Mus musculus: one gene and its partner. The protein of the gene in region 1 purifies or fractionates together with the protein of each later gene. This does not show direct contact. Links are inferred from orthologs where the notes say so. Each region holds a gene or a part of one and is shown on either strand. Other genes may lie near its edges.

Region 1 (3,819 bases):
CTCAGCGACCTCATCCCCGCCTTCCAGAGCCTCCTCCGAGACTGCGAAGCTGAAGTCCGAGCAGCCGCTGCCCACAAAGTAAGAGGTGAGACTGGCCGTGGGGTCCTTTGACTTTGGTGGTGTCAGCTCGCTATAGTTTGGTTTGGTTAGGACCGAAAACATAAACCAGGGAGAGATGAGTCCACGCAGCAGCATTTCCGCCCACGCTGATGCATTTGTTGTGTTAGGAAGTTTGGCATGGTTTTGATTTATAAGATGCTGCAGACGGATGGCACCAGCATGGCAGGTGGCACCGTCAGACTGTCCCATAGGTTAGGTCAGGAGGGCCTCCAGGCTGTGCTGTGTGGACCAGGCTTACTGCCCCTCCACACTTTATTTGCTCAGACTGACTTAACTTGGACTGTTGGGAAGAGCTGGGTAATTGTCTTTGGCTCCTTGACAGCATTGCCTTTTCTGTTTCTGTTTCAGAGCTTTGTGAGAACCTGCCCGCTGAAGGTAGAGAGACTGTAATTATGAATCAAATCCTGCCCTATATAAAGGTGAATGTGACTTCATTTTATTTTGTTTACTCTACCTACGAAGCTCTTAGCATCTAAAGAAGGAAGAGGCATAAATTAATCAAATACATAATAACATTAGTGCAAATGTTTAGAGTTGATTTGTGCGCGTTGCACTGTAGAGCTTGTGGGCGCATAGCTGTTACTACAGACGGCCAGGTCAGCTGTGCTGTTGGCTGGTGCTGCTGTGGACTCCTCGGGAGGTGCTGTAGAGGCTTTTGTTGTCTTTAATTTTTATTCTCTTTTAGGAATTAGTGTCTGATACCAACCAACATGTCAAGTCAGCGCTAGCTTCTGTAATTATGGGATTATCTACAGTTTTGGGCAAAGAGAATACCATTGAACATCTTCTGCCTCTATTTTTAGCTCAGTTAAAGGACGAGGTGAGTCTGGGTATGAATCCTTTTGCTTTGATATAATTGATTTGATATGATTTTGTTTCTTTTTTTTTCTTTTGGGTTTTCTGAGACAGGATTTCTTTGTGTAGCCCTGGCTGTCCTGGAACTTGTCGCTTTGTAGACCAGGCTGGCCTTGCACTTAGAGATCCATCTGCCTCTCTCTGTCTCCCAAGTGCTGGGACTAAAGGGACTGTAAAGCTTTGGTTTGGTGATTTTACTAAAATAGGACCCAAAGTGTAAAGATGGGGAAAATCATAGTCTAGATATTTGACAGTCCTTCTGTTTGGGTGTAGGGCTACAGGTTTCCCCAAAAATGGGCACAAGGACTAACTAAAAACAAACCAACTGGGTGTGGTGGAGCATGCCTTTAATCCCAGCACTCTGAAGGCTGAGGCAGGGGGATCTCTGAGTTCAAGGCCAGCCTGGTCCATAGGTCAAGTTCCAGGACAGTCAGGGTTACCCAGAGAAACCCTGTCTCTAAAACCAGAATCAACCAAACAACCAAAAAAGAGGAGCTGGAGAGGGAGGGAGCCTCGTAGCAAACAGCACTGGCTCATTCTTGGTTTGGTTCCCAGAACCCACATGGGTTCCTCAACTGTCAGTGGCTCTAGTTCAGGGATCTGATGCCTCTGTGGTCACCCGCAGGCACCAGGCACACAAATAGTGCATAAACATGTTCATGCAAAACAGTCATGAAATAAGTCTTAAAACCATCCAAGAAATGCCTATTAAATGTTTTATATTATAGTCACTGATTCCTTATATTTAAAGCTCATATATCTTTGCTTAAACTGTGTCTTTTTATTTAAGTTTAAAGTGTAGCTTCAGATACTAACATTTAGTGGCTGGAGATTTGGCTCAGCAGTTAGGAGGCCTGTCGCTTGTAGAGGACTAGAGCTCCAGTTCTGGTGGCCATGTTGAGTGGCCCTCAACTGTTCATAACTCCATCTCCAGAGGGTCTGGTCCCTTGCTGGCCTTTGTGGGCACACACACACACACACACACACACACACACACACACACACACACACACACACACACACACGGGCACATGTGCACGTTACACAGACAATACATACATTCGGATAAAAATGTAACAGGTAGTGCCAGGCATGGTCTGAGAGCTTTGGATATGTCATTAACTGTAACTGCTGCAGTGGGCTCTGGGCTTGGTTCCTCCCGGTGTAGAGGAAGGAGAGACCAGGGAGTAAGATGTCTGCGGTCTCCCTGCAGTGGCAGAGCTGAGTCCCAGGGCCTGGGCCCTTTACATCTCATAGACTCTGTGCTTACTTATTAATTAAAAGTCTGAAAATCTTTATTATTATGTGAGCGAGCGTACACTGTGTGCACATACAGAGTTCAGAGGCTGTCTCTGTGGAGTCCGTTCTCTCCATCCACTTTATGTTGGATGTTCTGGGGATAACTCATGTTCTGGGGATCGGATCCTGGCTGCTAGGTTTGTGAGGGAAGCCCCTCTTTCTGCTCAGCCATCTCGCCTGCCAATTTGTTAATTGATTTTTTAACTTAGTGTACAATCTCCCGTAGATGGATGGTACAGGCTTTTTACTGACGTGTGGCTAAGGTCAGTGACATTGTATCTGTGCACTTAGTGTTAAGGATTTCCTTCTGCAGTAGCTTTTCTATAGTTCTGGTGGTTGAGTCCAGGGCTCTGCAGGATGGACGAATGCCTTTCCTACCCAGCCACACCACAGCTTACCCCCACCTTTTAAAGCCTGAGCCTTTTCTTTTCTTTTCTTTTCTTTTCTTTTCTTTTCTTTTCTTTTCTTTTCTTTTTCTTTCCCTTTCCCTTTCCCTTTCCCTTTCCCTTTCCCTTTCCCTTTCCCTTTCCCTTTCCCTTTCCCTTTCCCTTTCCCTTTCCCTTTCCCTTTCCCTTTCCTTTTCCTTTTCCTTTTCCTTTTTTCCTTCCTTCCTTCCTTCCTCTCTTTTTCTTTCTTTCTTGTTTTTTTTGGTTTGTTTGTTTTTGTTTTTTTGTTTTTTTTTAAGATGGGAGTCTATCTGTGTATCCCTGGCTGTCCTGGAACTCACGTTGTAGACCAGGCTGGTCTTGAACTCAAGAGATCTGCCTGCCTCCACTGCCCAAGTGCTGGGTTTAAAGGTGTGCGCCACCACCCAGATTAGTACTTTTTAATTTGAAATTCTACTTAGCACTTTTTATTTTCTCATGCCAGGAGACTACTGGGCAAAAGAGTTAATTTTCACATGTAGTCTCTGGGGCTTGTGTGTTTATAGTGTCCAGAAGTTCGTTTAAATATCATCTCCAATTTGGATTGTGTGAATGAAGTGATTGGAATCCGTCAGCTCTCTCAGTCTCTCCTTCCGGCCATAGTGGAACTGGCTGAAGATGCCAAGTGGAGGGTCCGCCTGGCTATCATTGAGTACATGCCGCTGCTGGCTGGCCAGCTGGTGAGTACCTGGGCTTTGCCATGGTTTGAGGGTGGTTTTGGTTTTCAGTGATCTATTATGGCCTAACAGGAGGGTGGTGCAGAAACACAGTCACCTTGCTGCCTCCTCAGGTTGAAGGTGTAGAATGTGCTTCTGTGATAGCAATGTTGTATTATTTAAACCCTATATAATTTAAGGACTCGTGTATGGAAGGGAAAATACAGTTTCAGGATAAGTCGGTTTGGCTTTTTGTTTGACTCTGTCCTAAGCAAAATGAATTTGGGAGCAATTTTTTCTGCATCCTGATGAAAAGTTGAAGATCCACTACACAGGGCTTATAATGTGCTGTTCTGGATAAAGGTATTACACTGCCTATTTCTCTGGGTTCGTTATTAGTTTAGTTCTGGTAGATATGACTAATTAAAATGTCAAAGCAGACTTTATTGCCACACCTTTGCCTT
Region 2 (3,819 bases), on another chromosome or scaffold:
CCAACTATTTCAAAGATTGACTCTGGTATTTCTTCCTGCTTTCTATTCCTATACCCTTCTTGTTATCTAGTGATACTACAAATTGAACCCAGGATGTCACACATGCTAGACAAGTGTTAAATCAATAATCCACATTCTGACCCTTCTAATTCCTAGTTTAAAACTACTTGAAGGTGGCATCTGCAATTCAAACACAACCTAATTTTTTGTTGTTGTGAGACAAGATCTTACATAATTCAGATTAGTCTCAACTCATTATGTTGATGAAAATAACCTTTAACTCCTGATCCTCCTTTCCCAGTAGGCTCCTGGTTCAAGATACCTTAATTATAATATAGTGCCTAAAACTTTTATTCTAGAGTATCTTTAAAGATTATTTGTGCTCTATAATTAAAATAAGGATTGTTCTGTGTTTAATAAGTTTCAACCAAAGCTTTTTGTCTACATTTTAGGTAAATGCTATAAGAAAATAAAATCTGGGGACGGAAAATGGCTCAGCAGGTAAGACTATAGGTAAGAGATCTTTCAGTAGACCTGAGTTTGGGTCCCAACACCCACATCAGGTGGCTTACAATGGTATGAACTTTGGCTCTAATGGATACAATGCCTTCTTTGAGCCTTTGCACGCACTTACAACTTATATGTACATAACCTCCCATCTCACACACACACACACCCCAGCATAATTAAAAATAAGTCTTTAAAAAGAAAAATAATCTACTAAGATTAAATGATCAAACATGCTATTATTTCTGAAAAATATTTAAAAAACAAGTTAGCAATTTTTTTAATATTTACAACCACTTATACTTTAGCCTAAATATTGGAAGGCTAAATAGTAAAACACAAAAGCTAAATTTATTAGAACTGCCCATATTTAAAATTATAAAGCATATATTACACAAGATATACCACTCTGGGGAGCAGAGGAAGTTCTGAGTAGATGTACGTTGTTGACATGAGCGATCCAGGCTTGGTGTGGTCATATGCATGATTTTGATCAACCCAGTGGTTGGGTGGCAGAAGCAGGAAGATCTTTGAGTTATAGGCCAGCCAGAGCCACCTAAAGAACCTTGTCTCAAAAATACAAAAAGAAAAAAAAAAAGACCCGAGTGACTAAACCTCAGCCCCATGGGGGTTGCAAACCCTTTACAGGATGAGGCTCAATGTGGTAGCAAAACCTTCCTCTGATCCAATTGTGAATGCTAACAGTTTGTGTAGAAATGCCCATAGTAGCTTTCTAACCCCCAAACCCAGAAATGAAGGTCCTGAAGACTGCTCGCTCCCCTGTGAGGACTGCTCCCCTGTGGGGACTGCTCCTTACCAAGACTAGCTAACCTCCTTATTCAGCTGTACACCATAACCCCCACTTCCTTGTTCAGTTTTATATAATAAACACACTAAGCTTTCTGGGTGATGTACTTCTCCATCAGAGTGTCCAGGAAGCCATCCCAGTTTTCCTGTGTATATGTGTCCAATGTCTGTAATTTCTTCATTCCCTTCCATTATCTAGTTAGGGTTCCTAAACCCGAGAGGTACCAATCCATCTTATAAATCTCCCCCCCCCCGACATTTTTTATTAGATATTTTCTTCATTTACATTTCAAATGCTATCCCAAAAGTTCCCTATACTCTCCCCCGCCCCGCTCCCCTACCCACTCACTCCCACTTCTTGGCCCTGGTGTTCCCCTATACTGAGGCATATAAAGTTTGCTAGACCAAGGGGCCTCTCTTCCCAATGATGGCTGACTAGGCCATCTTCTGATACATATGCAGCTAGAGACACAAGCTCTGGGGGATACTGGGTAGTTCATATTGTTGTTCCACCTATAGGGTTGCAGACCACTTCAGCTCCTTGAATACTTTCTCTAGCTCCTCCATTGGGGACCCTGTGTTCCATCCTATAGATGACTGTGAGCATCAATTTTTTTTATACAGCAAATAAGTATCTTTAATCTATTAAAATGTTTTCAAGTATTTCAAAACTACTCCAGTAACAGCTAATAACAATAATCTATTTTACTACTATATATAAAAAAGTGGCTTTGATAGATTCATTTAATATCTAACAATAAATGCAACTATAGAAAATATAGGGCTGGTGAGATGGCTCAGTGGGTTAGAGCACCCGACTGCTCTTCCGAAGGTCCAGAGTTCAAGTCCCAGCAACCACATGGTGGCTCACAACCATCCGTAACAAGATCTGACCCTCTCTTCTGGAGTGTCTGAGGACGGCTACAATGTACTTACATATAATAAATAAATAAATAAATCTTAAAAAAAAAAAAAAAAACCTGGCTCATCTTAAAAAAAAAAAAAAGGAAAGAAAATGAGACTACCAATGAAAAGCCACTGTTGTATCACTGATTTTGACTTCCATAAGTTAAATGATGTTAATCAACAAATACAAATCATACCTTTTGATTTCTTGTCCTTTTTGCTTAGGAGATTCACCACCATTCAAGATCTGTTCTAAATTCTTTGCTTCTACAGATCCATTTGGCTCTGAATTAGACAGTCCAAGTAATGACCTTACCCGTTGAGATCGTACATCTAATATTGTATCTGTGTATCCTACTTCCTGAAGATACCTATCAAGAGAAAATTAAATGCTAAAATTCAACATATTGTTAACATCTGCCACCTTCAAATCATATTAAAAATTAAAGAAAAAAAGCCACAATCACACAAATTAACTTTTTCTTTGTCTCAATAGCTTCGTTATAGCCTAATTCCAGGTCTAAGAGAATGATGTCAACTTTAAGTTCCAGGACATCCTATACCCTCCCCTCTGACTTATGTAGGCAATCAGCATATATGTGGTGCACATGTATACATCCAGACAAAACTCATATACATAAAACAATCTTTTTTAAAAAATGAATTAAGGCAGGTGTGGTGGTGCACACCTTTGATCCCAGTACTCAGGATGCAGAGGCAGCCTAATCTATAGGCGTTCCAGGATAGCCAGAGAATCCTGTCTTGAAGAGAGGAGAGGGAGGGGGAGGGGGAGGGGGAGGGGAAGGGGAGGGGAGAGAAGAGAAGAGAAGAGAAGAGAAGAGAAGAGAAGAGAAGAGAAGAGAAGAGAAGAGAAGAGAAGGGAAGAGGGAGGAGGGGAAGGGGAGGGGAGAGAAGAGAAGAGAAGAGAAAGGAAGAGGGAGGAGGGGAAGGGGAGGGGAGAGTATGACTAACTACCATTGAGTAAGAGCCAATTATCTCAATACCTAAAAAAGCCTCAGTGTTGAAACGTTTTTGAGATACATAAACACAGGTTACATGCCTTTATATAGACACATATAAGTATCTATTTAAAGAATAGATATGTAAATTTATACACATACATGTAAGCACAAATACACAATTTTCACATGTTCAAGGTATGTGAAAGAATAAGTTCTCAGCCAGGGATTGATAGATGGACTAATCCCCCCTCAAGGATCTCAGATTCCAGACCATTCCTCCAAAGTTCACTCATCTAAACCAAATACTTAATAGGCTATGACTTTAATTTCACCAGGGTTATCAGTAGGATACAAGTAGCAAAATTTCCAACTATAAGAAAAAGAACCTGGGCTGGAGAGATGACTCAGGGGTTAAGAGCACTGACTGCTCTGCCAGAGGTCCTGAGTTCAATTCCCAGCAACCACATGGTGGCTCACAACCATCTGTAATTGGATGGGATGCCCTCTTCTGGGGTGTCTGAAGACAGCAACATTGTACTCATATAAATTAAATAAATCTTAAAAAAGAAAAAAAGAAAAGAAAAAAGAAAAAGAACTACTAGATTAAAAAAAAAAAAAACAATAAACAGAAATTGCC

The links.
Region 2: the proteins of Ppp2r1b (region 1) and Strn3 purify together in Homo sapiens (co-immunoprecipitation; 5 studies listed by BioGRID and IntAct, with this or other methods). This does not show direct contact. The link is inferred for Mus musculus from reciprocal best matches to the Homo sapiens genes PPP2R1B and STRN3.

What each region holds. Positions count from the first base shown.
Region 1 is NC_000075.6:50,866,858-50,870,676, forward strand, and holds part of Ppp2r1b (serine/threonine-protein phosphatase 2A 65 kDa regulatory subunit A beta isoform), read left to right. Parts: coding exon 1-85; intron 86-468; coding exon 469-539; intron 540-805; coding exon 806-940; intron 941-3,205; coding exon 3,206-3,379; intron 3,380-3,819. UniProt on the Homo sapiens protein: The PR65 subunit of protein phosphatase 2A serves as a scaffolding molecule to coordinate the assembly of the catalytic subunit and a variable regulatory B subunit.
Region 2 is NC_000078.6:51,650,255-51,654,073, forward strand, and holds part of Strn3 (striatin-3), read right to left. Parts: intron 2,592-3,819; coding exon 2,418-2,591; intron 1-2,417. UniProt on the Homo sapiens protein: Calmodulin-binding scaffolding protein which is the center of the striatin-interacting phosphatase and kinase (STRIPAK) complexes.